Linked DNA regions of Anolis sagrei. The protein of the gene in region 1 interacts with the protein of each later gene in a pairwise test. Links are inferred from orthologs where the notes say so. Each region holds a gene or a part of one and is shown in the gene's direction. Other genes may lie near its edges.

Region 1 (7,871 bases):
CGACACTGAAATAAAACACTGCCTGAGCTCTGCGAGTGCAGCATTCTTCCGAATGAAGCAGAGAGTGTTTGAGGACTGGGACATCCATAGGGATACCAAGGTGCTTATCTATAAAGCTATTGTCCTCCCAACTCTGCTATATGCCTGTGAAACCTGGACTGTCTACAGACGTCACATGCAACTCCTGGAACAATTCCATCAGTGCTGCCTCCAGAAAATCCTGCACATCTCTTGGGAAGACAAGCAGACAAACGTCAGCGTGCTGGAAGGAGCAAAGACCACCAGCATTGGAGTGATGGTCCTCTGCCATCAACTCCGCTGGACCGGCCACGTTGTCCGGATGCCCGACCACCATCTCCCAAAGCAGTTGCTCTTCTCCAAACTCAAGAATGGAAAACGGAATGTCGGTGGACAGGAAAAGAGATTTAAAGATGGGCTCAAAGCCAACTTTAAAACTCTGGCATAGACACTGAGAACTGGGAAGCCCTGGCCCTTGAGCGCTCCAGCTGGAGGTCAGCTGTGACCAGCAATGCTGTAAAATTTGAAGAGGCACGAATGGAGGGCGAAAGAGAGAAACGTGCCAAGAGGAAGGCGCGTCAAGCCAACCCCGACTGGGACCACCTTCCACCTGGAAACCAATGCCCTCACTGCGGGAGAAGATACAGGTCAAGAATAGGGCTCCACAGTCATAGAATCATAGAATCATAGAATCAAAGAGTTGGAAGAGACCTCATGGGCCATCCAGTCCAACCCCCTGCCAAGAAGCAGGAATATTGCATTCAAATCACCCCTGACAGATGGCCATCCAGCCTCTGTTTAAAAGCTTCCAAAGAAGGAGCCTCCACCACACTCCGGGGCAGAGAGTTCCACTGCTGAACGGCTCTCACAGTCAGGAGGTTCTTCCTCATGTTCAGATGGAATCTCCTCTCTTGTAGTTTGAAGCCATTGTTCCGCGTCCTAGTCTCCAAGGAAGCAGAAAACAAGCTTGCTCCCTCCTCCCTGTGGCTTCCTCTCACATATTTATACATGGCTATCATATCTCCTCTCAGCCTTCTCTTCTTCAGGCTAAACATGCCCAGTTCCCTAAGCCGCTCCTCATAGGGCTTGTTCTCCAGACCCTTGATCATTTTAGTCGCCCTCCTCTGGACACATTCCAGCTTGTCAATATCTCTCTTGAATTGTGGCGCCCAGAATTGGACACAATATTCCAGGTGTGGTCTAACCAAAGCAGAATAGAGGGGTAGCATTACTTCCTTAGATCTAGACACTATGCTCCTCTTGATGCAGGCCAAAATCCCATTGGCTTTTTTTGCCGCCACGTCACATTGTTGGCTCATGTTTAACTTGTTGTCCACGAGGACTCCAAGATCTTTTTCACACGTACTGCTCTCGAGCCAGGCGTCACCCATTCTGTATCTTTGCATTTCGTTTTTTCTGCCAAAGTGGAGTATCTTGCATTTGTCACTGTTGAACTTCATTTTGTTAGTTTTGGCCCATCTCTCTAATCTGTCAAGATCGTTTTGAATTCTGCTCCTGTCCTCTGGACTATTGGCTATCCCTCCCAATTTGGTGTCGTCTGCAAACTTGATGATCATGCCTTCTAGCCCTTCATCTAAGTCATTAATAAAGATGTTGAACAGGACCGGGCCCAGGACGGAACCCTGCGGCACTCCACTTGTCACTTCTTTCCAAGATGAAGAGGAAGCATTAGTGAGCACTCTCTGTGTTCGTCCACTTAACCAATTCCAGATCCACCTCACCGTAGTTTTGCCTAGCCCACATTGGACTAGTTTCCTTGCCAGAAGGTCATGGGGGACCTTGTCGAAGGCCTTACTGAAATCCAGGTACGCTACATCCACGGCATTCCCTGCGTCTACCCAGCTTGTAGTTCTATCGAAGAAAGAGATCAGATTAGTCTGACATGACTTGTTTTTGATAAATCCATGTTGACTATTAGCGATGACCGCATTTGTTTCTAAGTGTTTGCAGACCACTTCCTTAACAATCTTTTCCAGAATCTTGCCCGGTATCGACGTGAGGCTGACCGGACGGTAGTTGTTTGGGTCATCCTTTTTTCCCTTCTTGAAGATTGGGACCACATTGGCCCTCCTCCAATCTGCTGGAACTTCTCCCGTTCTCCAAGAACTCTCAAAGATGGTTGCCAATGGTTCCGAAATGACTTCCGCTAGTTCCTTCAATACTCTGGGGTGTAGTTGATCTGGCCCTGGGGACTTGAACTCATTAAGAGCGGCCAGGTATTCCTGAACGACTTCTTTCCCAATTTGGGGTTGGATGTCCTCCAAACCCTCATCCACTCCATCTTGCTGAGGTTGAAGACTCTCTTTTTGTGAGAAGACCGAGGCAAAGAAGGCATTAAGTAGTTCTGCCTTTTCCCTATCCCCTGTCAGCATTGCCCCATCTTCTCCTCGAAGAGGTCCTACCGCCTCCTTGTTTTTCCTTTTTCTACTGACATAAGAATAGAAGCCCTTTTTATTGTTTTTAATGTCCCTGGCAAGTCTGAGCTCGTTTTTTGCTTTAGCCTTGCGGACCTTTTCCCTACAGGTGTTGGCTATTTGTTTGAATTCTTCTTTGGTGATTTCTCCCTTTTTCCACTTCTTGTGCATGTCTCTTTTGTGTCTTAGCACAGTTAGAAGTTCTTTGGACATCCATTCTGGCTTCTTTGCACTTGTCCTATTTTTTCTCTTTGTTGGCACAGTTTGCAATTGCGCCTTGAGTATTTCACTCTTGAGAAATTCCCATCCATCCGTAACTCCCTTGTCTTTTAGTATCTGTGTCCACGGAATGCTGCTCAGCGTTTCCTTCATTTTTTGGAAATCAGCTCTCCTAAAGTCCAAAATGCGGGTTTGACTTGTCTTAGTTTCGGCCTTCCTTTGTACCTCAAATTGCAGGAGCACATGGTCACTTGCCCCTAAGGATCCTACCACTTCGACCGCATCGATCAGGTCCTCCGCATTTGTTAAGATGAGATCAAGAGTAGTCAATCCCCTTGTTGCTTCTTCTACCTTCTGGACCATGAAATTGTCTGCAAGGCAAGCGAGGAATTTGTTGGACCTTGTACTCTTGGCCGAGTTTGTTTTCCAGCAAATATCGGGATAGTTGAAATCGCCCATGACTACTACATCTCTTCTCTGTGCCTGTTTGGTCAACTGTTGGCAGAAGACTTCATCAAGTTCTTCCTCCTGGCTTGGGGGTCTGTAGTAGACGCCTACAACGACATCTTTTTGAGTCCCAGTTCCCTTGATTCTTATCCAGATGATTTCAAGCTGGTTTCCCAGATTGCTGTCTTGAATCTCTTCTGTAGCATAAGAGTTTTTGACATATAAGGCTACTCCGCCTCCTCTCCCCTTTGTTCGGTTTCTGTGAAAGAGGTTATACCCCTCGATATCTACATTCCAGCGATAGGAGTCATCCCACCAGGTTTCAGTGATCCCTATGATATCATATTTGTGGTGTTGTGCTAAAAGTTGGAGTTCGTCTTGTTTATTTCCCATGCTCTGTGCATTAGTGTAAAGACATGTGAGCCCCTGAGATCTTCCCCTGAGCTGTTTAATTGGGATTATTGTGCTTTGGGTACTTGGTCCTTGTTGTGTTTGTGCAGCCCTCCGTTTAGCCTTCTGGCGATTCCCAGATATTGTGGGTAAAGTAGTGTTCGCAAGTCACCTACAGACTCACAAGAATTCTGATCCTGGAGGACTATCCTACTCCGCCGACGAGGGATCGCCTAAGAAGATATTCTGGGATATAGGGCTGTGTGGAAGGGCTCTTGAGTCCACACTCAGGTGCATTGTCTGCCTTGATAGTCTGGGCTATAGGGTGTGTGGAAGTGCCCTGAGTCCACACTCAGATGATGTGGGATTCCCTGCCTTGATATTTTGGGCTATAGGGCTGTGTGGAAGGGCCCTGAGTCCACACTCAGATGATGTGGGATTCCCTACCATGCTATTCTGGGCTCTAGGGCTGTGGGGAAGGGCCCATAGTCCACACTCAGATGATGTGGGATTTCCTGCTTTGATAATTTGGGCTGTAGGGCTGTGAGGAAGGGCTCTGAGTCCATACTCAGATACATTGTCTGCCATGCTATTCTGGGCTATAGGGCTGTGTGGAAGGGCCCCGAGTCTACACTCAGATGATGTGGGATTCCCTGCCTTGATATTCTGGGCTATGGGGCTGTGTGGAAGGGCCCCGAGTCTACACTCAGATGATGTGGGATTCCCTGCCTTGATATTCTGGGCTATGGGGCTGTGTGGAAGGGCCCTGAGTCTACACTCAGATGATGTGGGATTCCCTGCCTTGATATCCTGGGCTATAGGGCTGTGTGGAAGGGCCCTGAGTCTACACTCAGATGACGTGGCATTGTCTGCCTTGATATTTTGGGCTACAGGGCTATGGGGAAGGGCCCTGAGTCCACACTCAGATGATGTGGGATTTCCTGCCTTGATATTCTGGGCTCTAGGGCTGTGTGGAAGGGCCCTGAGTCCACACTCAGGTGATGTGGGATTCCCTGCCATGCTATTCTGGGCTATAGGGTTGTGTGGAAGGGCCCTTAGTCCACATTCAGATGGTGTGGGATTGCCTTCCTTGATATTCTGGGCTATAGGGCTGTGGGGAAGGGCCTTTAGTCCACATTCAGATGATGTGGGATTGCCTGCCTTGATATTCTGGGCTATAGGGCTGTAGGGAAGGGCCCATAGTCCACACTCAGATGATGTGGGATTTCCTGCTTTGATAATTTGGGCTCTAGGGCTGTGTGGAAGGGCCCCTTCTCGGCCTGTTTTGCTTGCTTCCCCTCCCTTCCTCCCTCTGCGCGTGTAGGAAGTGAGCTCAGGCGGCAGAGAGGAAGTCCCGCCCCCTCCTTGCCCTGCGCTCTCGCCTCTCTTGCTGGCTCCGCGTTTGGAGGAGGAGGAGGAGGAGGAGGAGGAAGGCAGGAGGGAAGGCGCCTAGGGGTCTCTCTCTCGGGGCAAGGCAGGAGGTGGAGAGGGGACGCGGCGAGGAGGAGGAGGAGGGCGGCTGCCTGCCTGCCTGAGCCCGCCACCCATCAGGATGTCGGACACGGTAGGAGGACGCCTTGCCCGCCGGCCCCGGGAGGCCTGTTTCCGCGGCTCCCCTCGGGGAAAACAAAGGCGGGATCCGCACCGCCGCGACTCCAGGCCATGCCGTTCTCGGCAGTGCAGGATCCAGCCAAGATGGGGAAGGCCAACCCACCATTCCTTGCCTTGCCTGCCTTCCCTCCTCTTCCCTGCGAGGCTTGGCTTCAGAAGAGCCTTCCTCTCGGCTTCCCTTTCAAGGATCCCACCCCTTCTCCCTCTTCCTTCCTTCCTTCCTTCCTTTGCGGGGATGATCTGGACTTGGAGTGAATGGAAAAGGAGGCCGAAGTCTTCCTCCTGGGCCTTGTTTTGTTTACTTGCCAATACACCCAGACCGCAGTGCACGAGTTGGGTCTGTTTGTTTACTTGTCTCAGCGCCGGAAACGAAAGAGGATGACATAGGCCTGCGTTTAGGGGGTGTTTTTTTTTTAGTCTTAGACCCCCATCTAGACTGGATCTACACTGCCATATAATCCAAGGCCTTTCCACACAGCCACATGACACAAAACATCATGGCAGGTAATCCACAAAATCTGATTTGAACCGAGTTATCTGAGTCCACACTGCTATATAATCCAGTTCATTGTGGATTTTATACCGCGATGTGGAAGGGCCCCCAGATTATCAAAGCAGATAATAATCCACATTGTCTGCTTTGAGTTGGATTATAGGAACCCCCCTTCCACATAATCCAGATTATCTGCTTTGAACTGCATAATAGGATGCCCATTCTACACTGTACTATAATCTAGATCAGGGGTCCTCAAACTTTTTAAACAGAGGGCCAGGTCACAGTCCCTCAAACTGTTGGAAGGCCAGATTATAATTTTTAAAAAAATGAATGAATTTCTATACACACTGCACATACCTTATTTGTAGTGCAAAAAACACTTAAAAACAATACAATTAAAATGAACAATTTTAACAAATATAAACTTCTTAGTATTTCAGTGGAAAGTGTGGGCCTGCTTTTGGCTGATGAGATAGGATTGTTGCTGTTGCTGTTGTTGTTGTTGTGTGCTTTCAAGTCATTTCAGACTTAGGTTGACCCTGAGCAAGGGCCGGATAAATGACCTTGGAGGGCCGCATCCGGCCCCTGGGCTATAGTTTGAGGACCGCGACCTAGATTGTCAAAGCCGACACTTCATATTATTGAAGCAGATTTTCCACTTTGAGCTGGATTATAGAAGGCCCCTTCTACCCTGCCATATAATCCAGATTATCATATCAGATAATCCACGTTATCTGCATTGAACTGGATTATAGGAAACCCCTTCAACACTGCCATATAATCCAGATCAGGGGTCCTCAAACTAAGGACCGGTGGCCGGATATGGCTCTCCAAGATTATTTACCCGGCCCTCGATCAGGGTCAATCTAAGTCTGAAATGACTTCAAAGCAGATAATCTGGATTGTATTTGGTAGTGTAGAAGGGACTCAAGTCTCATATCCATACTATAGTTTCTGAACACAATGGTTCTGTTTCTGTATCTAGATTTAGTATGAATTCTGTAAAAGCAATTCTTCCAAATGCTACAAATCTTTTGTCTTCCATCATTACTATTAATTACAATTTTTCTTTTGTCCACCTTTATTGTCCTCTAATTCAACCTTGCAACTTTTAATTTACTTCTCATTGCAAGTGGCAGATTTGAAGTACGGGTAACGTACTATATTTACATCGCACTAGTGAGTTGATCCTTAGTTTTTATTATTGTATTTTGATTCTGAAGTTAACAGCTCTTATAATTCTCAGAGCAACTTTTGTAGCTGATAGTCAAGATACTTCAGAAGATGCAAAAGACCATCAAAGCAGTAGGGAAACAAAACAACAAACAAAACAACTGGAAGCAAAGCTTCTGAATATATGCTGCATTAACTGCAGTGACAACATCTCAACTCCAATATGCAGGTTTGCAAGTTCTTATTTGTGTTTAATTTTTTCATGATTAAATACATATGCATTATGCCTGCCAGGATTTTCCATAGCAGGGTATCGTGTAAAAGGTTTCTACCTGGTTTCTTAATACCAGATGGAAACTTAAGTACATATTTATTTGGCATATTTTCAGCTTTTCAGAGAAGTTTATACCATTTTACCATTGGCTTCTATGAGCAACCCAAGGCACCCGGCTTTCTTTTAAAAAAGAACCAGAAGTTGGGTAATGCTTACTGTTGGTACCAGATGCTTGCCCTTATGTTTCTAGTTGTTAACTTTTCTGATTGGAGGATTACTGTATTTCTTTGATTCTGAGGTGCCATTGATTGTAAGACATACACTAATTTCAGTACTACCAAAATAATAATAATAATAATAATAATAATATTACATTACATTTTTTGATGTCAGGACTTGAGAAACTGCAAGTTGCTTCTGGTGGCCCTCTGCAAGGATGTTGCCCAGGGGATGCCCTGGTGTTTTACCATCCTGTGGGAAGCTTCTCTCATGTCCCTGCATGAGAAGGTGCAGCTGATGGGAGCTCACCCCGCTCCCCGGGTTTGAACCGATGATCTTTCGATTAGTAGTCTTGCTAACACAAGGATTTAACCCAGGGCTCCTCAAACTTTTTAAACAGAGGGCCAGGTCACAGTCCCTCAAACTGTTTTTATGAGTGACCATCACTCATAAAAACACTGAAAAACACAGTGGAAAAGACATTAAAAGCAAAAAAATAAATAAAATAAAAATACATATCACAACACATGCACATAACCACCTAAGTACACATATACACAAATATATACACATACACAAAAAAACACAT
Region 2 (7,629 bases), on another chromosome or scaffold:
TTATTTTATTTCTTACCTGCCTCTTAATTATTATTATTAATAATGTTATTATTATATTTTTATCTGCCTCTTACTTATTTTTATCTCGAGCTCTATTAGATTGTGCATTAGATTCAGTGGCGAATGAGAGTTGAGTCAAGATGGTAATAATCCTAAGCATCGTCATGGGGACAAATGTCAGCGTGCTGGAAGAAGCAAAGACCACCAGCATTGAAGCGATGGTCCTCCACCACCAACTCCGCTGGACCGGCCACATTGTCCGGATGCCCGACCACCGTCTCCCAAAGCAGTTGCTCTACTCTGAACTTAAGAACAGAAAACGGAATGTCGGTGGACAGGAAAAGAGATTTAAAGATGGGCTCAAAGCCAACCTTAAAAACTCTGGCATAGACACTGAGAACTGGGAAGCCCTGGCCCTTGAGCGCTCTAGCTGGAAGTCAGCTGTGACCAGCAGTGCTGCAGAATTTGAAGAGGCACGAATGGAGGGCGAAAGGGAGAAGCGTGCCAAGAGGAATGCGCGTCAAGCCAACCCCGACCGAGACCGCCTTCCACCTGGAAACCAATGCCCTCACTGCGGAAGAAGATGCAGAGCAAGAATAGGGCTCCACAGCCACATACGGACCCACAAGAATACTGGAAGACAATCCTCCTCGGAAAATGAGGGGTCGCCTAAGTAAGTAAGTAGTAAGTACTGATTAAGGGTTTGGAAACTAGTTGTAAGCTTACCGATCTTGAGTCCGAACAAATGCCGTGCCTTGAGCTTCTTGAGAGTGTCCTTCTCTTCGGGGAAGCGGTGGGTGAAGAGCAGCTTCTCAGCGGAGTCAATGCCGCTTTCCTCCAGAAAGGCCTCCACGTTCCGGCGCAGCAGTGCATTCTCCCCCCGGGAGAACTTCCCAAACTTCAACGCAATCCCTGCGCCAGGGAAAGAAGGCTGTTTGGTTTCCCCACATGTTTCAGCCCCAAATATCCCACAGGACCCTCGACAAAGACACTCGTTTACCTTGCTTCTTGAAGTTCCTGAAGCGGAGGAGATCCCTGCGCGCCAGCTGGCGGATGAACTCTTCGGGGCGCCGCCGGATGTCCGGAATGAACTCCTCCAGCTCCCGAGTGAGGCTCTCCAGGTCCGGCGATACAACGTCCGGAGAATCAAAGAACTCGTTGTCCAGCTCCAGAGGCTCCGAGGACGGAGGAAGAGGCCCTTGTTTACCTAGAGATGCACTGAAACAGGGCAGACAGAAGAGAGGGACACAAGGCATTAGACACGTTTTGTGCTCCTGGGTTATCAACACCAAACTCAGCCAACATTGGATGTAGACCAAACTTGGCACACAGACCCAACATGACATACATACTGGCATACTGGCAGGGTTTGTGGTTGACTGCCCTTTGTGATTGTGCTTCAGGATCAGGGTGCTTTGGATGTGGGGAGTGATGTTAATGAGTTTCAAGGTGGCAATGGTTTGGCCAGGGATATTGATGCAGAGAATGACAAGGAGACCCCTGTGCAAAGTGTAGTTTCCCATGAGAATGTCCCTGAGGGGTGTGGGGATGATGGTGTGCTCTCTGAATTGTTACCAGAGAGTTCCCATGATAGGGAACATGAAAACAGCTCGGCATCTGGCCCAGCTGCAGAAATTAATGAGCAAATAGATAGACGGGAAGAGATCAGTCAAAACAGGAGTGCCGAATAGTGGCTTTGGTGATCTGCTAGACTCCGAGAGAAAAAGATAAGAAATTCTCAGCTAAAGCAAAACAAACAAGGCCTTTTTCAAACAACCCGGGCATTGCAGGGTACCCAAGCTACTAGTAAACATAATAACAATAATCTGAGAAAATATAATAATAATTAAATAATAAGATTAGTAATAATAATAATAATAATAATAATAATCTAAGAAAATATACAGTTCCCTCGCTACTTCGCGGTTCGCTTTTCACAGACTCGCTGTTTTGCGGGGTTTTGCCTCCTGGCAACGATGGAGTGTGGAAGGGGGTTTCCCCCTCCCCCTCAGGAGAGAGGCAGCCAACCATAAAAAAGAGAGAGAGGAGATACAAAGCAGTATGCCTTATTTATTTATTTATTTACAACATTTATATGCCGTCCTTCTCACTGCCAATAAATCAGAGTGGTTTACAAGATATACATATATACGTACAATATATATATTATATTATTAGCATAGTACAATATCAGTATTATATATTACTATATTGTACTATACCATTATATTGTAATATTATTAGTAACATTGCATGTAATATAAAATATTTAATTATAATATCATAGTATTATTTTTACTATTATATTGTATTACATTATAATATTATAAATATATGCATATATATTATATTATATTATATTATATTATATTATATCATATTATATTATATTATGGCCCCTTCCTTATGGCTAGTAAAAAAAAAAGGTATGCAGTGCTGTTAAATCTCTCCTCGCTTCTGACTCACCCTCGGATTGCGTCCCTACTTTGTGGATTTTCACTTTTCGCGGGTGGTCCTGGAACGGTACACCCGCGATAAGTGAGGGAACACTGTAGTAAGTGCCCAACATTGGAACACAAGTTGGAGGCTGCCTAGAAAAAAAGCATTATCTGAACGGTTTCAAAGGTGTGAAATACTGCAAAGATGAAAATGCGCAAGGATCGAATACTTACGCAGGATGTCGCTTGGACTGGTCCTGTTCTCCATCTTTAGCCATTTCTGGGTTGTCGTCAAATGCATTGGGGGAAGAAGATCGATGCTTTTTATGCTTCTTATGCTTTTTGTGGGGTTTCCTTGGTGCAGAAAGCGTGGTTTCCGCCCCATTCTGCAAAACGTCTTCAATGTCTGAAGGCATAACAAGTTCCTTTGCATCCCTTGCAAAGCCAACCTTGTCTATGGAAAGGCCTTCGCCGTCTTCTAATGATTCTTTTGCTGCTTTCTTTTTCTTCTTCTTGGGACGAACTTCACAATCCGCATCTTCCAAATGATCCAAGATTTCTTCTGGTGTTTCCGGGACTATATGCTCAACGTCTTGTTCCTTTGATCGGTGCTTCTTCTTTTTCTTTCTCTTGGGATGTATTCCCATTTCGCTCTCTAAGTCGCTCTCTTTGACGACCCATTGGGAGTCCTTCTTCCTCTTGGATGTCCGATCATTCTCTGCATCTTCAGCAGGATTCACCCAACGCTCTTCTGCTTCTTCCTCTCCGTTCAATTCCTCCAATTTCCTTTTCTTCTTCTTCTTCTTCTTTGGGGAAACGAAGAGTGGAAGGCTGTCTGCGCACAAATCCTCTGCTCCGTCGCTCATTGCTTCTTAAAAAGGAAACAAGAGGTTCAGTCTCACACAGGTAATGTTAGCTTGACGTTAGGAGAGACTTTCTAAGGATTTGATAACCCAATCCTTGGAAATCAATTGATTATATATATATATATAGAGAGAGAGAGAGAGAGAGAGAGAGAGTGTCCCCATGGGGGGAAAGGTGGGGTATAAACAAAGTTAAGAATAATAATGATAAAGATAATATAAGGCAATGTATTTCATAATATGGAATATATACGTAAGATATTATGTAAGATATAAAATACCATAAACAATACATTGCATACTATACATATATCACAATACATAGTACAAACATTTTGTATATTTATTTATTTATTTACATTATTTCTATCCTGCCCATTTCAACCCGAAGGCGACTCAGGGCGGTTGTCTCTCTCTCTATATATCTCTCTATATCTATGTTTCTCTCTCCCTCTCTCTATGTCTCTCTCTCTCTCTCTCTCTCTATATATATATCTATATCTATGTCTCTCTCTCTATGTCTCTCTCTCTCTATCTCTCTATATATATCTCTCTCTCTATGTCTCTCTCTCTCTATTTGTCTCTCTCTCTATATATATATCTCTATATCTATGTCTCTCTATCTGTCTCTCTCTCTCTATCACTCTATGTCTCTCTCTCTATCTGTGTCTCTCTCTCTATATATATATCTATCTCTATATCTATGTCTCTCTCTCTGTCTCTCTCTCTCTATATATAACTCTATATCTATGTCTCTCTATCTGTCTCTCTCTCTCTCTATGTCTCTCTCTTTCTCTATATATATCTCTATCTCTCTATGTCTCTATCTGTCTCTCTCTCTATCTGTGTCTCTCTCTATATATATATCTATATCTATGTCTCTCTCTCTGTCTCTCTCTCTCTCTCTATGTCTCTCTCTATCTGTCTCTCTCTCTCTATATATATAACTCTATATCTATGTCTCTCTCTATCTCTTTATCACTCTCTCTATGTCTCTCTCTCTCTTTCTCTCTCTCTCTATCTGTCTCTCTATGTCTCTCTCTCTCTCTATCTATCACTCTCTCTGTCTCTCTCTCTATATATATATCTCTATCTCTATCACTCTCTCTATGTCTCTCTATCTATGTCTCTCTCTCTCTCTGTATCTATCTAATTCTCTCTCTCTCTCTCTCTCTCTATATCCCTCTCTCTCTCTCTCCATCTCACCACCGAAGTCTCCCGCTTCCTCTCAGCCTCCTTTTGAGACCTCCTTCCAAAGTCACTTCCGCTTCCGGCGCTCCTTTCCTCAAGTGAGGCGGGCCGCCATCTTGGGAGAGGCGGAGAGGCAAGGCGGACTGCGCAGGCGCGGCGGGGTCGCCAGAGTCGGAAGTGCCGGTTTCTTCGCGAGCGGAGAGGGTGCCCTGAGGGAAGGAGGAGGAGGAGGAGTAGAGGCCCGAGCGGAAATTCATGGCTGGAGGAGGGAGGCCGAAGACCCCGGGAGGAGGAGAAGGAGAAGGCGGCGGAGGAGAAGGAGGTGAGCGGGGCCTCACGGCGAGGAAGGAAGGCCGCGGCCTAGGGACAGCCCTTCCGGAGGCATTAAAGGGCCTCCGACTCCAATGGGCCTCCCTTTTAAAGGCGCAGGCTGTTCTCGCCCAAAGGCCAGGAAGGGAAAGGCAGAAGGGATCCTCAGGAGCATAATTATATCATCTATTCTCTGCCTCAGAGTCTGGTGGAAGCTCCTTCCTTGGAGACTTTTCAACAGAGGCTGGGCGGCCATCTGTCAGGGAGACTTTGATTGTGCTTTCCCTGCAGGGCAGAATGGGGTTGGACTAGCTGGCCCACGTGGTCTCTTCCAACTCCATTAATCTATGATTCTAATTATCTTTTTGGCTTTCAACTCCCAGAAATCCCAACAGCTGGTAAAGTGGCTGGGGTTTCTGAGAGTTGTAGGCCTAAAACAACTGGGGACCTCAAGTTGAAAACCACTGATCTAAGGCCTCTAGAGCAGTGGGTTGTTGTAGGTTTTTTCAGGCCATGGTCTAGAGGCATTCTCTCCTGACGTTTCACCTGCATCTGTGGCAAGCATCCTCAGAGGTAGTGAGGTCTGTTGGAACTAGGAAAAAGGTTTCCTATTATTAGAATAGATATTATTAATATATTATATATAAATTGTGGCAAGTTCTTGGTGGGATGGGCATCCCAAGCCACCTTGTGTCTCTCCTGAGGAATCTGTACAAGGACCAAGTAGCAACAGTCAGAACTGACCACGGAACAACAGACTGGTTCAAGATTGGGAAAGGCGTACAGCAAGGCTGCATACTCTCACCCAACCTTATTAACTTGCATGCAGAACACATCATGGGATGTGCAGGGCTTGATGCATGCAAGGCTGGGGTTAAGATTGCTGGAAGAAACATTAACAACCTCAGATATGCAGATGACACCACTCTGATGGCCGAAAGCGAGGAGGAGCTGAGGAGCCTTCTAATCAAGGTGAAAGAAGAAAGCGCAAAAGCTGGGTTGCAGCTAAACATAAAAAAAACCAAGATTATGGCAACAAGAATGATTGACAACTGGGAAATAGAGGGAGAAAATGTGGAGGCCGTGACAGACTTTGTATTTCTAGGTGCAAAGATGACTGCAGATGCAGACTGAGGCCAGGAAATCAGAAGACGCTTCCTTCTTGGGAGGAGAGCAATGTCCAGTCTCGATAAAATAGTAAAGAGTAGAGACATCACACTGGCAACAAAGATCCGCCTAGTCAAAGCCATGGTATTCCCTGTAGTCACCTACGGATGTGAGAGCTGGACCTTAGGGAAGGCTGAGCGAAGGAAGATCGATGCTTTTGAGCTGTGGTGCTGGAGGAAAGTGCTGAGAGTGCCTTGGACTGCGAGAAGATCCAACCAGTCCATCCTCCAGGAAATAAAGCCCGGCTGCTCACTGGAGGGAAGGATACTAGAGACAAAGTTGAAGTACTTTGGCCACATCATGAGGAGACAGCAAAGCCTGGAGAAGACAATGATGCTGGGGAAAGTGGAAGGCAAAAGGAAGAGGGGCCGACCAAGGGCAAGATGGATGGATGGCATCCTTGAAGTGACTGGACTGACCTTTAAGGAGCTGGGGGTGGTGACGGCCAACAGGGAGCTCTGGCGTGGGCTGGTCCATGAGGTCACGAAGAGTTGGAGACGAATGAACAACAACAATATATTTCCATATTATAATATAAGATTCTTTTCACTTCCTGTGGTCTCAGCCCGTAGTTCTTAACTTTAAGTCGCTGCAGGTCGGGTGTCTGTAACTTGGGAACAGCCTGTATACATATATATATATATATATATATAACAGTAATGCATATAATATGATACTAATGATATATAATAACATATCTAATATAATTATAATGTTACTAAGATGTAATATAATGATATACATTATAATATATATTATATTATTATATAATATATATATTGTATAATGTTATATCTATATATATATATACACACACACACACATATATTTTATAATGTTATATATATATAACTGTGGCACAGTGGGTTAAAGCGCTGAACTGCTGAGCTTGTTGACCAACCTAGCAGTTCGAAAACATGCAAATGTGAGTAGATCAATAGGTACCGCTCCAGCGGGAAGGTAATGGCGCTCCATGCAGTCATGCCAATGGCCACATGGCCTTGGAGGTGTCTATGGACAACGCCGGCTCTTCGGCTTAGAAATGGAGATGAGCACCAACCTCCAGAGTCAGACACGACTGGACTTAATGTCAGGGGACAACCTTTGCCTTATAATAATATAATTAATAATACAAATACTATTTATATTTAAGATAAGATTCCTCTTACTTCTTGTGGTCTCAATCCCATTGTTGTTAACTGCAAGTCATTGCAAGTTGGATGTCTGTAACTCAGGGATGGCCAGTTGTGGGGATTTCCCTTTGACTTAGCATTTGTTGAGTCCTGTGGTGTTGCGTTTCTTCTTCCTTGTGTTTCTCTCCCTGCAGAATGAGTACCTGCTGCTGGTGCACCCCGGGGGGCGCTAGGGCCGTGCAGCTCCTACGGAGCTATGCCTCGTCCTCCTCGGACTTTGCAGCTGCCAACGATGACCTCTGCTATTGCCTGGAGTGCGTGGACGAGTATCACAAGGCCCGGGAAGAGCTCCCTGACTTGCATGAGGTTGGTAGCACCTTGCTTGTGAAGCTGCTTTGCAAATGTATATCAAGCCTGTACAACTTGTTGGTCGCAAGGGGCTGAAATTACGCTATTTACTTGAATCCAGTGCTCACCTTTTGGGGCTATATTAGCTTCCCAAAATGAGGGTGCGCATTGCGTTTGTGT
Region 3 (6,737 bases), on another chromosome or scaffold:
CACGTTTCGCCGCCTTCGTGCCTTGTTGAAGGCGAATGCAATTAACGGAGAGGCCCAACTTTCACCGCTTAACTGTGTTTATTATAGAGTAGCGTGGCAAGAAAAAGCTTCGTGAGTGGAGGGATAAATAGAGAGGGACCTTCCTTCTCTCCCCCCCCCCCCGCTCCCCGCAACCGATTTACTCCGGATTTATCCCTCCATCATGGTGTGAAGAGCGACAATCTTGCTTCCTCCCCTTTCCTTCCAAGATATTTTTGGGAGGGGGAGGGAAGGACGTTCCCGAGTGTTTAGGCGAAAGTATAAACAACATCCAAGTTAAATATAGTGTCTGGACAATTACAACGTGTCTGTCTTTGGGGTTTTTTGTTTTTGGTTGGGGGGGGGGTCTATTTCTTCTCCTTCACGTCTTTACAGCGCCAGTAAACAAAAATCAAGTGAGAGAATTGGGCATTTCTTGTCTGAATCAACACATCTCGGGATAATAACAAAGTCTTGGGGTAATAATAAAGTCTACCCTCCGAAAAATCCAATTAATTGTTCCTATTAACGGCTGGGTACCCGCTTTCCTTTTTGGGGGGCCTTGGAAGGGCTTTGTTTTTCCCTGGGACGCTCTTTTGGGCCGTGGGGGCGGGCAGCGGATCGGCCAGGAGGGGGCGCGCCAGGCCCGTCCCTCGAGTCTCTCCCCCGGCGCTCAGAGTCCAGGGCGCCCTGCCTGGCGTCTAGGGCTCCTTCCCTTTTGTGTCTCTCTCTCCCTCCCTCCCATAGAAATCACTTTCCAACCGCTTTCCCCCTCCCTTTGGGAGCGAGAGAGGGAGAGGGGACGAGATTCGATGGAGAGTTTTGAAACGCTGTCAATACTCCCCCCCCCCTTCCCTCTTCCATTTGGAAGGCCTCTTCAACCTCTCCAAACGCCATCAAAATTTCTAATCGGCTCCCAAAGCCTTTCCATCTATCTTTTCTCTCTCTCTCTCTCTCTCTCTCTCCCCCCCCCCCCCAAGCCATTCGAGTTTGAAGTTGAAACAAACTTAAAGCAGGACTAGGGGCCCTTCCACACAGCCCTATATCCCAGGACTTCAAGGCAGAAAATCCCACAATATCTGCTTTGGACTGGGTTATCTGAGTCCACACTCATTTAATGTGGGGTTTTCTGCCTTGATATTCTGGGCTATGGGGCTGTGTGGAAAGGGCCCTGAATGTGGACTCAGCTAGCCCACTTCAAAGCAGATATTGTGGGATTTTCTGACTTGATATTCTGAGATATAGGGCTGTCTGGAAGGGACCTGAGTGTAGACTCAACTAGCCCAGTTCAAAGCCGGAATTGTGGGATTTTCTGACTTGATATTCTGGGATATGGGGCTGTGTGGAAAGGGCCCTGAGTGAGGACTCAGCTAGCTCAGTTCAAAAAGATATTGTGGGGTTTTTGACTTGATATTCTGAGATATAGGGCTGTCTGGAAGGGCCCTGTGGACTCAGCTAGCCCACTTCAAAGCAGATATTGTGGGATTTTCTGACTTGATATTCTGAGATACAGGGCTGTCTGGAAGGGCCCTGAGTGTAGACTCAGCTAACCCAGTTCAAAGCAGGAATTGTGGGATTTTCTGCCTTGATATTCTGGGCTGTGTAGAAGGGGCCTGGGTTGTTGTGAGTTTTCCGGGCTGTCTGGCTATGTTCCAGAAGCATTCTCTCCTGACTTTTCGCCTGCATCTATGGCAGGCATCCCCAGAGGTCGTGACGTTTCGCCCGCCATAGATGCAAGCGAAAGGTCAGGAGATAATGCTTCTGGAACATGGCCAAACAGTCCGGAAAACTCACAACAACTAAGTGATTCCGTCCATGAAACCCTCCGACAATACATTAAAGCAGGACTAACGGACCGAGGAAGGAAAGGGGGGGGGGGGAAACATCCTGGCTTCGTTACTCAGGGGTAAGGGGGTGCTTTTTGAGCAGGTGGGCTTGCGGGGTCTTTCCTCACTCGCCCGCCCTTCCCAAAACACAAATGTGGCTGGCAGCATCTGCTTGGAAAATTTTAAATAAGTGAAAAATAAGGGCAGAAGAGTGGGACCCTTTCCCCCGAATTTGCAACAAAACTGAAAGCCACTAGTGATTGCCGAATTTTTCAGGACTTTTTTTTTGTGTCAGGAGCAACTTGGGAAACTACAAGTCGCTTCTGATGTGAGAAAATTGGCCGTCTGCAAGGACATTGCCCAGGGGGCGCCAGGATATTCTGATGTTTTACCATTCTTGTGGGAAGTTTTTCTCATGTCCCCGCACGGGGAGCTGGAGCTGACAGAGGGAGCTCATCCACCCTCTCCCCAGATTCGAACCTCTGACCTGTCGGTCTTCAGTCCTGCCGGCACAAGGGCTGAGGGGGGAAAGGAAGCCTGAGGCTGTTAGGAATGGTGGGAGTTGAAGTCCAAAACACCTGGAGGGGCCAAGTTTGCCCGTGCCTACTGTAAATGCACCCTGAGCTGTATGTCTAATATCTAGCAATAATCCACAGAATAGAAGAGTTCCTCTGCCTCCTCGCCTTTCCTGGCTCCTACCTCTCTTCACCCCCAAAAACAAGGGCTCAGGGAGGGAACATGGATGTGTGTGCCTGTGCCCCCTCTTCTCCTTGTTATTTATTATTATCACCATAATTATTATTAGTATCCTGCCTTTGTCTCTAGATTGGGGTGGAAAGTGGTTCACAACATTTTTTTTAAAAAGTGCTATTTCATATCTTTAACATACAAGTATTAAAATAGAATTAAACAACCAAATCGATTAAAATTCTTTAAAAGACTTAATGAGTGCTAAAATAATCCCATGCCTTGCAGCTACCCCCCTGGCTCCCTCTCCAGAACCTCTTTCTTTTAAAAGCCTACTTGTTCTTGGACCTGTGCACCTGCTTCCTAGGGCTGTTTGAGGAGGGAAATAATGGCACCTTTTTAAAATACTTTTTTTAAATAGTTGGGGGAAATGTGAAGGGAGGAGGTTGCTGGAGCTGGAAGGGTTTCTGGCTGGAAAAAAGGAGATTCTGTGACTCTGAAGCACTGAGATGGTATCTGTGTGTGTGTGTGTTTGCACTGAATCCCTCCTCCATGTGAGGAAGAAAATGTTGAAGGGGGTAGAGAAAGGCTTTTAATTATTTCATGGAGGGCTGTGTGATAATCTGGAGGAAAGGCTATCCCTAAACTGGTTGAGGAGGCCCAGTTTGGGAAGAAGAGGAGGCTTGGTGGCATCTGCCCCTCTTATGGTTGACTTCCCAGGGACTGTTCTGCTAACATCAGGTCCTTTTAAGAAGCCCGGTGAGGACTAGGAGGATGGACCAAGGATCTTCTCGCTGAGCTGAAAGTTTGAGGCAATAGCCAAGGAGAGAGTTTCCTTCTTGCCAAGGGACACTTGTCTGAGAAGGCCAGGGCAGGTTTGGGGTGGGCCTGAGGCCTTTCTTTCCAGGTTGACTTCCCAGGGACTGTTCTGCTAACAAACAGGTCCTCAAGAGGGCCTTTTAAGAAGCCCAGTGGAGACCAGGAGGGTGGACCAAGGGTCTCCTCCGCTGATCTGAGAGTTTGGGGCAAAAACCATGGAGAGAGTTTCCTTCTTGCCAAGGGACCCTTGTCTGAGAAGTCAGGGCAGGTTTGAGGTGAACCCGAGGCCTTTCTTTCCAGGTTGACTTCCCAGGGACTATTCTGCTAACAACCAGGTCCTCAAGAAGCCTTTTTAGGAAGCTCAGTGAGAACCAGTAGGGTGGACCACGGGTCTCCCTGGCTGAGCTGAGAGTTTGGGACAAAAGCCAAGGAGAGAGTTTCCTTCTTGCCAAGGGACCCTTGTCTGAGAAGGCCAGGGCAGGTTTGGGGTGGGCCCGAGGCCTTTCTTTCCAGGCTGAAAGCAGCAAGGCAAGTGGGTTGTGGAGCTCTCACTTGCTGCTTTCAGCCTGGGAAGAAAAGCCCAACAACCGCGGAGGGTGGAAGAGCCCACGCGCGTCCACAGGGAGAAGTGGGGCCAAGAAGGCTCCCTCCCTCTCTGGGCCTGGCTTAAAAGAGAAGAGTAGGGGGGAGCCAAGGGGCAACCTCCCTTTCCTCCTCTCTAGCCCGCACTCAAGTGAAGCCGTTGCCGTTGTTTGTTGTTGTTGTTGTTGAACGCGTCCACACGGCCGTTTGCGCGCTCCCTCCTTCCCCCCTCCCTCCCCGAGGCGTGTGTGTGACCTGTTGCTTTGCAAAGAGGAGCTCGGAGGGGCCCTTTTGAGTGGCAGCCTCCATGTCCCGCCTCCCCGCCCTGAAGCCGCTCACGGCTGGATACTAGTGTGTGTGTGTATGGGGGGGGGGGGGGGAGCAGTGAGTGAGTGAGAGAAGCCCCGCCCCCTTTCATGCAAAACTCCCATCCGAGGCCGGCGCTCAGTGGAGGAGCCGGGCGAGCTCTGATTGGCCGAGGCGAAGGCATTTATTCCCTGACAAGCCCCCCATCACATGGATGGTTGTCTATTAACTTGTTCAAAAAAGTATCAGGAGTTGTCAAGGCAGAGAGAGAGAGAGAGAGAGAGAGAGAGAAAGGCGAGGAGAGAGAGAGAGAGAAAGAAAGAAAGAGTTTGGGAAGAAAGAAAGAAAACAAAACAAAACAAAACAGGGGGAAACAGAGACTTTTCCCCCCCATTTTCCTCCCTTTGCGGGCTCTTTAAGACTTAAGAGCTCCCGAAAGAAAGAAAGGAAGAAAGAAAGAAGGAAAGGAAGGAAGGAAGGAAAAAAAGGGGGCGCCGAGTGAAGAGAAAGAATAGGGGAGACGGAAGAAGAAGAAGTTTTCTCCAGCAGGACTTTCTCCCAGGCGCCTTTGTTATGATTCTCCTGGAGTAGCCTGAGAGTAGCCACCCGAAGAAGGAAGGAAGGAAGGAAAGAAGGAAGGAAGGAAGGCCGCTGTTGGCAGAGAGAGAGAGAGGAAGAGGAAGAGAAGAGGAAGAGGCTGGTCGGTGAAGGGAGGCTCTGCTGCTTGGGGGGGCAGCCTCTCCTTCCCTCCCTCCGACCCTCCCTCCCCAGCAGCCCGACTTCTGACTTTTCCTGCCTTGTGGGCTTCCTTCCTTGACTGTGTGCTTGGCTGCCCCTCTGCCCGCTTCCCCTCCTCGTCGTTCCCCTCCTTGGGGTGTTGGGCCTCTTCTCCCCTTGGCCGCCATGTACAACATGATGGAGACGGAGCTGAAGGCCGCGGCCCCGCAGGCGACGGCCACGGCGGGCGGCGGTGGCGGCGGCGGGAACAACGGCGTGTCCGGCGGCGCCAACAGCCAGAAGAACAGCCCGGACCGGGTGAAGCGCCCCATGAACGCCTTCATGGTGTGGTCCCGCGGGCAGCGGCGGAAGATGGCGCAGGAGAACCCCAAGATGCACAACTCGGAGATCTCCAAGCGGCTGGGCGCGGAGTGGAAGCTGCTCTCGGAGGCGGAGAAGCGGCCCTTCATCGACGAGGCCAAGCGGCTGCGCGCCCTGCACATGAAGGAGCACCCGGATTATAAATACCGCCCGCGGCGGAAGACCAAGACGCTGCTCAAGAAGGACAAGTACACGCTGCCGGGCGGGCTGCTGGCGGCGGCGGCGGGCTCGGGCGGGCTGGGCGGCGGGGTGGGCGTCGCGGGCTCGGCGCTGGGGCCCGGCGGGTGCGCCCAGCAGCGCATGGACGGCTACGCGGCGCACATGAACGGCTGGTCCAACGGCGGCTACGGGATGATGCAGGAGCAGCTGGGCTACTCGCAGCACCCGGGGCTCAACGCCCACGCCGCCGCCGCCGCCGCCGCCGCGCAGATGCAGCCCATGCACCGCTACGACGTGAGCGCCCTCCAGCAGTACGGCGCCCAGCCCTACATGAACGGCTCGCCGGGCTACGGCGCCATGCCCACCGCCGCCTCCTACGCCCAGCAAGGCGGCTCCTCCGCGCCCCCCGGGGCCATGCCGCTCTCCGCCATGGGGCCCGTGGTCAAGAGCGAGGCCAGCTCCTCCAGCCCCCCCGTGGGCAGCGCCTCCGCCCACGCGCGCGCCCCCTGCCAGGCCGGGGACCTCCGGGACATGATCAGCATGTACCTCCCCGCCGCCGAGGCGCCCGAGCCCGGCAGCGCCAGCAGACTCCACCTGGGGCCCCACTACCAGGGCGCCGGGGGGCCCGGGGCCGCCCTCAACGGCACGCTCCCGCTCTCCCACATGTGAGCCTCCCATGCCCCCCACTCACCCACCCACCCCCACGCTCCCCTCCCGGGGCGGACGGATGGACGGACCAAGCGGGGTGCAGACTCTCCGTGAACTCCTTCCCCGCGCCTCCGCCCCGCTATTTTTGTACAGAGAAGGAACTGGACAGGGCCCCAAAGACTCGCCGGGGAGGGGAGGGAGGGGAGGGGGTCTAGAGAGAGGAAGAGAGGGAGAGAAATAGAGGGAGCTCTCCCTCCCCCTCTCTCTCCAGCCGTCGGGCCAAGGCCCCGTCTCCACTGGCCAGGGAATGAATGCGCCCCCACTTTGGTGTCATCCAACTCCTTTCCTAGGTCTGCTTCACCTGCACAGGGAAACTCTTCCTTCAAGACCGGTTCGAAGTGGCATTCAGTGGTCAATGCAGATGGGTTTTTTTTCCCCTGACCCAAAATATGTTTGTTTTATTTCCCTATCCTTCCTTCCTTCTTTCCTTCCTTCCTTCCTTTCCCAGGTTCCAACGCCCCACTCACTCAGTGCTTGGTGTCATCAGACTGCTTCCTATGTATCAGGCATGGGCAAACTTGAGCCTTCCCTCCA
Region 4 (7,519 bases), on another chromosome or scaffold:
TTATTATTGTTCCAAAGAAACCCAAATTAACTTGCATCCTTATATGGAAACATTTTTCAAAGTCTCTCTAGCCCACTCCAACCACAATACAAACATTATTTTTTAAGGAATTCCAACTCTTCCCTATGGTCTATTCTTTCAAGGTAATTAATACAGAATAGCACACCTGTACACCGTGAACACATTTGATGTGGAATATGCTGATAAACTGGGCCCCAGAAAATGGGTCACTGATTATATTTCCAATTTGCATTTGGCTCCTGTTCACTTTTTGCTAGTGTGCCAGAAACACAGGTGCTAAAAAGAGAATACTGCAGCCATGGATTTATATTGTCTATCTTGCATTCATCATCAAACCGTGCCTTATAGTTTGCTGGGGCTGTTTTGCTGGAGCTATTAATTTAAATTCTTTCTCCAAGGTTTGTCTCTCTAAAAAGGAAAGAAAGAAAGAAATCACCCAACAGATTTGCGCATATGAATAGAGTGAAACAAAGAATATAATCTTAACCCCAGTGAATGGTTTTCAGACTGACATCTGTACATTAAGAATATGTAAAAATACCAATTTCATGCTCTGACAGCTTATTCTGCAGTGATGGTGTGGGATAATACCATGGGAATGCCAAATGTCAAAGCATTACATAAGTCAGCCATTCATATGTTCTTTTGGTGAATGTTCCTTAAGGGACATTCTTCTTTAAAATGAGAATGCGAATGAGAATGAAGGAAGCAAAGCACAATCAAGACAAAAAGATTTAGGGCAATTTGAAGAATTAGGATTAATGTGAAAATAAACAACTACATTAAGCATGATTTTTTTTTAAAAAAAAAAAGAATTTGTCTTCTCAGATCTTGGAAAGTTACTTTCCCAAAGCATTTAGTTTCACGATCCCTATTTAGTTACCAATCTAGATACAGTGTTTATAACAAATGCTTTCACACATCTCAAAATGATTAAAATACTTACTTTTGGTTACATTAAAACATTCTGAATTCCTCAAGCTGTTGGGTTGTGATGTTGCAAATTTCTCACCCCCTCTATCTCAGTACCCACAAAATAATAATAATAATAATAAGAATAAGAAGAAGAAGAAGAAGATGTAACACGAGATAATATGACAAACCAGGTCATATTGCTCTCTGCCATTTGGCGAGGTTAAATCCCCCAACTTTAACACAACCATTCCAGATTATGTAATGAAAAGTTCTAAAGGATATGAATACTTCAAATGATGCTTTGGTGGACCAATAAAGGTATCAGCAAACTCTGGGCTTTAATTCATAGTCCACACTGCTAAGTTTATTTTCTTTTTTTAAAAAAAGTTACAGTTGTATTGTCAAAGATGTGATGTGTACCTTATCCCTACATAAATTAGGATAGACTCCATCAACTCTGCTGGGCCGGCCACGTTGTCCGGATGCCCGACCACCATCTCCCAAAGCAGTTGCTCTACTCTGAACTTAAGAACAGAAAACGGAACGTTGGTAGACAGGAAAAGAGATTTAAAGATGGCCTGAAAGCCAACCTTAAAATCTCTGGCATAGACACTGAGAACTGGGAAGCCCTGGCCCTTGAGCGCTCCAGCTGGAGGTCAGCTGTGACCAGCAGTGCTGCAGAATTCGAGAAGGCACGAGGAGGTACGAGGGTGAAAGAGAGAAACGTGCCAGGAGGAAGGTGTGTCAAGACAACCCCGACCGGGACCACCTTCCACCTGGAAACCAATGCCTTCACTGTGGGAGAAGATGCGGGTCAAGAATAGGGCTCCACAGCTCCACAAGGAAACCCATCATGGAAGACCATCTACTTGTCCAACGAGGGATCGCCTAAGTAAGTAAGTAGGATAGAACATAGTTCCGCCTTAATTACTGGAGAAAAGGAGTGAATTAAGTTTTCTAAATGGTGTTGTGACACATTTGTGTGTTAGCTTCATTGTGTATGTGTGCCACACAAGGTAAAGGTTTCTCCTTGACATTAAGTCTAGTTGACTTCAACTCTGGGGGGTGATGCTCATCTTCATTTCTATGCCAAAGAGCCAGCATTGTCCGTAGATGCCTCTTAAGTCATGTGGTCAGCATGACTGCATGGAGTGCCGTTACCTTCCGACCGAGATGGTATCTATTGATCTATTCAAGCTTACATGTTTTCAAACTGCTAGGTTGGCAGAAACTGGGACTAATGAAAGGAGCTCACTCTGTCCCAAGGGTTCGAACCACTGACCTTCTGGTCAACAAGTTCTGCGCTTAATGGTTTAACCCACTGCACCACCACATGCCTTATAAACATAACAAATAAACCTCTGAACCGATGTGAAGGGAATAATGATAGGCTTTCGTTAGGTATGTTGGGTCCCCATACTTTTTGTTATGACAATTCATGTATGTGTCTGTATCTCTCATAAGGGGTTGATTTAACCTCCAGTTTGCTAGTAAAACAGAATTACTGTGCTGCAAAATGATGTATGTCTATAAAGTGTGTCACTAATATGAAATGTTTGAAAAGCTCTGAGTTAAGTAGTTACTTATTTGTAATTATTTATTTATTATCCTGCTCACTGGAGGAAAGGATAGTAGAGGCCAAGATGAAGTACTTTGGCCACATAATGAGAAGACAGGAAAGCTTGGAGAAGACAATGATGCTGGGGAAAATAGAAGGACAAAGCAAGAGGGGCAGACCAAAGGCAAGATGGATGGATGGTATCCTTGAAGTGACTGTTTTGACTTTGAAAGAACTGGGAGTAGCCACGGTTGACAGCTCTGGCGTGGGCTGGTCCATGAGGTCATGAATAAATAAGCTTTATTTCTGGAATTGCAGAGGGATTGGTTGTGATAGAGCACTTTGTTTTTCTTGATGTTCAATGAGAGGCAAGCTTTTCATATGCTTCTGCAAATGTGTTTAAAGTGGTTTGTAGGTCTTCCTCTGAATGAGCACAGACTACATTATCATCATCATACTGAAGTTGTATAACGAGCTTTTGTGACCTTATTTTTTGTTTTCAGTCTGCTGAGGCTAAAGAGTTGCCATGAGTCTCATAGGTGATTACTTCATCGATGGAAAACTTTCAGTTAACAAGGTGCACAATCATAGCCATGAATGTGGAAAACAAGGTTGAAGCAATTAACGCATCCCTGTTTGACACATCATGTCATTGTGATGTCAGGTGAAGGAAAACTTGGAACATACTGTAGACCAGGGGTCCTCAAACTTTTTAAACAGAGGGCCAGGTCACAGTCCCTCAAACTGTTGGAGGGCCGGATTAAAATTTGAAAAAAAGCATGAATGAATTCCTATGCACACTGCACATACCTTATTTGTAGTGCAAAAAACACTTAAAAACAATACAAGAATTGAAATGAAGAACAATTTTAACATATATACATTTATTAGTATTTCAATGGGAAGTGTGGGCCTGCTTTTGGCTGATGAGATAGGATTGTTGTTGTTGTTGTGTGCTTTCAAGTCATTTCAGACTTAGGTTGACCCTTAGTGAGGACCAGGTAAATGATCTTGGAGTGGTGAGGGAGGAAGGGGACACCCGCCTAGCTAGCCAGATCAGCCGAATCAACCCTGGCGATCAATGGGGTGACAGATGTCGCAGCCAGATCACCCTCACATCAACTTAGGTTGACCCTGAGCGAGGGCCGGGTAAATGACCTTGGAGGGCCGCATCCGGCCCTTGGGCCTTAGTTTGAGGACCCCTGCTGTAGACAGTAGTTCACCATATACCCAAGCCCTAAGGAGAGGGAAGTAACATTTATTATTATTAACCACAACAATAAATTATTAATTATAATTATCCTATGCTATTTGTTGTTGATCCATTCCTTTACAAATCGACCATTTGCCAAAATATACAATCCTTTGCTTCTCTTTTCCATTTCTGGCCAAATAGCTTAACCATTGGTTTCTCCCATCAAATATGAGGTCTGCCCAAGGGTGGTCTCTTGGTATTCAGTTTGTCTGTCATTCATCAAAATGTCCATTGGTTGTTTTGAGTTATGTTAATCCCACAAACAAACATTACATTTTTATTTATATAGAGGGCACAGATTCCTGACCTCAGAGTATAAAAGGACTGATGCGTGTAAGGTGAGCAAAGTAGGCCACAAATGGATACTATGCCCTTCAATGTAGGGCAGCGTTTCCTAACCTTTGGTCCTCCAAATGTTTTGGTTTTCAGCTCCCAGAATTCCTGACTGTTGGCCAAACTGGCTGGGACTTCTGGGAGTTGAAGTCCTAAACTTGGAGGATGAAGGTTGACATAAAAGGCCAATGTTCCCATATAACCTGGTACAGATCTGGAAGCTCCCGGAAGTGACATCATTGATCAGCTCTCCTTTTTGTAGTTTCAACACCCGAAGGCGGCTCTTTTTCCCCCTTCGCCCCGCCCACCTTCGGAACAGACCTATCAGGCGCCGGCACAGCTGCGCGCACGCTTTGAGGCTTTGTCCTCCGCCCCGCCCCCTCCCTGCCTGCCTCCGCGCGCTCCTTGTGAGTTCAACGGGCTTGCGCTCTCGTCTCCCGGCTTCTCTACCTAAGCGCATGCGCAGTGCAAGGCACGCGCCTCCTCAGGCGCGCGGCGTGGGGTTTCTTGCGTCTCTCAGCGGGCGGAAGCGCAGCCCGACGTGAGGGGCGGGGGAAGGCGCTGACGGCGACGCTGGTTCCGGTCGCGAGGGGCTTCCTGGTCGCAGCAGGCAGCGCTAGTGAGTAGCAGCGTGAGCCCTGAGTGGGCTGCCACGTGTATGAGGGGGACGTGTGTATGGGCCTCCGTGTTAGCCCTACTGTGGGGGAGCCCTTCTGCCTCCTGGCCCTCTCCAGGGCACTTCCCTTCTTCCCCAAGCAGAAGCCCGCCCTGTTGGGGCCGCTCGCCTCAGGAAAATGGGGGGACATGGAGATATCAAACGCAACACCACAGTTGGAGTGCATTGGGCATTTCTGTGGGGTAGAAAGAGTAGCCTTGTTCTGCCCATTCCTGAAGGCACTGTCCCTTCAGACTGTAAAGCAGGCATGGGGAAACTTCGGCCCTCCAGGTGTTTTGGACTGCAACTCCCACAATTCGGAATTGTGGGAGTTGGAGTCCAAAACACCTGGAGGGAAAGTTTCCCCATGCCTGCTATATACCTTAAATAAGTATTTGCAAATATAGATACAACATTATTATGATTGTTTACATCTCGTCGGGACTCAAGGCGGCTGATAATAATAATAATAATCTTTATTCATACTTCGCCACCATCTCCCCAATGCGGACTCGGAGCGGCTTACATGGGGCCAAGCCCGAACAACAATTACAATAAAGAAAAACCAATATACAACCGAAAACGTGAACGATAAACAATAACATAATAAATACATAAAACATGTGGATACATAACTGTTCTGTCGCCGCTGGACCTGAAATGAAGTGCCTTTAAGAGAGGATACATGGCTTGAATCCCAGCGGGAAGCTAGAGGGCCCGAAAAGAAGCCTTTAGAGAATTTTCCCTCATTAAACAGTCTTTAGGAGGCTTGAGCTTAAATATAACAGTCTTTTATTGATGAACAAACAGGAATTGTAAAGCTTTCTTGGCAAAAGCCCGTTCTCTCAAACTTGTCCACAGGGAACAGGCACTATCTTCAATAACTTTGTTCAAAGGAAAATTCCCCTTTCTAGCTCCTCCCAGGCTGCTGTGAACCTAAACCTGACTGATTTGAATCCACTACCGGCTGAATGTCTCAGAACCGAGCAGACGTACCAGCAGGCCTGTAGTCACTTAGCTGGAGATCTTGACGATTAGAGCTGTTATTCCCTCTGGAATTCCTCAGGGCTGTAAGGCTGTTTCCCCGGAACCTTTGGGAATCTTTAGAGGCTCTTAAGACTGTTCTCCCCCGGGAAGTCTTAAGGGACTAAGCCTTTGTATAGGAGGACGTCTGTATACATCCTCTGCATTGACTTCCTTTACTGAGACTAACTGAAAAATGGCCCCTTCCCTCCAAAAAACCCAGAGAGGGGCGGGACCAGGGATCCTAACTATAATTGACAGGTGGCTTGCCCTATGAATGCAGCCAAAGGAAACTACCTATCTGCAAAGTCCCTGCAACTTAGGACTATGACCAAACACTCAGTGCAAAGCACAAAATTGGAGTCCCTGGAACAGCCGTTCCAGAACAATAACAATGTAAAAATTACAATAGACACAGGCACAGTTACAGAAGGCGGGCTACATGTAATTATTAAAAGACAAACTGATTACATCTAATTAAAAACTCAGACAAGATAAAAGAGAGAAGCAGATAATTTGCGGAGGAGGGGTCATTATGATGGGGGTTGTGGAGTCAGGCTTTCCCACGAGGGGGGGGGGGAAGTCTACTCCAATGACAGAACTTTGAGGCTAAAAACAGTCATGTGAAATTGTATACCTACTCATCAAAGGCACAGCGGAAGAGTCAGGTTTTAAGGTTTTTTTAAAAAACGTCTAGAGAAGGGGCTTTCCTAATTTCTCCAGGTAATGAGTTCCAGAGTCAGGGAGCCACAGCAGAAAAGGCTCTCTCCCTTGTACTTACCAGGCGAGCTTGTGACACTGGCAGTGGCGAGAGCAGGGCCTCCCCAGAGGATCGGAGAGCCCAAGGTGGTTCATAATAATAAAACCATAATGCAAAACAAATACAATTTTTAAAAGAAAAAAGGCATATGTGTGCTTACTTTTAAAGTTTAAACACAATTAAAATTGCATTTGAAACTCACCATCCCCCTCATAATCCCACCCACAATTATTATTATAATTATTATAATAATCTATATAAATAAAAATAAAATGTTCGTTTGTGGGATTAACATAACTCAAAAACCACTGGACGAATTGACACCAAATTTAAACACAATACACCTGTCAGGCCAATGAGTGACCATCACTCATAAAAACACTGAAAAACACAGCAGAAGAGACTTTTAAAGCCAAAACGCAAAAAATACATTACAACACATGCGCAGAACCACATATATATAGGCAAATACTCATAAACACATATACACACACAAAACACATACACAGACTGGGCCACAGCAATGCGTGGCATGGGACGGCTAGTAATATAATAATAACAATATCTTGTTTGTAACCCAATTGGCAAACATTCAGTGCCAAGACAGACAAACAACGAATCCAGTCAGAAATAATGGATAAAACAATCTCAAAAACCTATAAAACTACCCCCCCCCAAAATAAAAACACCTTATATGTATTCATTTATTGGGCTGAGGGGACTCAAAGCAGTTTCCAATATAACAGTGGCCAAATTTAATGCTGTACATACATGTGAAAACCAAACCATAATTTCTAGACAATAACATATACTATAAATTAAGAACCTATAAAATTCCTATTGAACTGGATTATATGGCAGTGTGGACTCAGATAATCCAGTTCAAATGCCTTGTTATTCTGGGTTATATGGCTGTGTGGAAGGGCCCTATGAAAGAATGTCTGCTCTCTCATTCCTAACAATGGAGCTTGCAATGGAGATGGGACCAAGAGAAGGGCT

The links.
Region 2: the proteins of SUMO1 (region 1) and SETX interact in a two-hybrid assay, tested with the Homo sapiens proteins (2 studies listed by BioGRID and IntAct). The link is inferred for Anolis sagrei from reciprocal best matches to the Homo sapiens genes SUMO1 and SETX.
Region 3: the proteins of SUMO1 (region 1) and SOX2 interact in binary tests that used the Homo sapiens proteins (3 or more experiments, as listed by UniProt). The two-hybrid records come from large-scale screens. The link is inferred for Anolis sagrei from reciprocal best matches to the Homo sapiens genes SUMO1 and SOX2.
Region 4: the proteins of SUMO1 (region 1) and ZCCHC7 interact in binary tests that used the Homo sapiens proteins (3 or more experiments, as listed by UniProt). The link is inferred for Anolis sagrei from reciprocal best matches to the Homo sapiens genes SUMO1 and ZCCHC7.

The regions. Positions count from the first base shown.
Region 1 is NC_090021.1:165,250,709-165,258,579, reverse strand, and holds the start of SUMO1 (small ubiquitin-related modifier 1), read left to right. Parts: upstream 1-4,867; 5' UTR 4,868-5,061; coding exon 5,062-5,073; intron 5,074-7,871. UniProt on the Homo sapiens protein: Ubiquitin-like protein that can be covalently attached to proteins as a monomer or a lysine-linked polymer.
Region 2 is NC_090031.1:18,074,822-18,082,450, reverse strand, and holds the start of SETX (probable helicase senataxin), read left to right. Parts: upstream 1-4,621; 5' UTR 4,622-4,814; intron 4,815-7,295; 5' UTR 7,296-7,296; coding exon 7,297-7,467; intron 7,468-7,629. Other genes in the region: TTF1 (transcription termination factor 1), read right to left, coding at 727-912, 1,001-1,218, 2,673-3,304. UniProt on the Homo sapiens protein: Probable RNA/DNA helicase involved in diverse aspects of RNA metabolism and genomic integrity.
Region 3 is NC_090023.1:258,757,064-258,763,800, forward strand, and holds SOX2 (transcription factor SOX-2), read left to right. Parts: upstream 1-4,379; 5' UTR 4,380-5,141; coding exon 5,142-6,164; 3' UTR 6,165-6,226; downstream 6,227-6,737. UniProt on the Homo sapiens protein: Transcription factor that forms a trimeric complex with OCT4 on DNA and controls the expression of a number of genes involved in embryonic development such as YES1, FGF4, UTF1 and ZFP206. Binds to the proximal enhancer region of NANOG.
Region 4 is NC_090022.1:152,631,049-152,638,567, reverse strand, and holds the start of ZCCHC7 (zinc finger CCHC domain-containing protein 7), read left to right. Parts: upstream 1-4,499; 5' UTR 4,500-4,701; intron 4,702-7,519.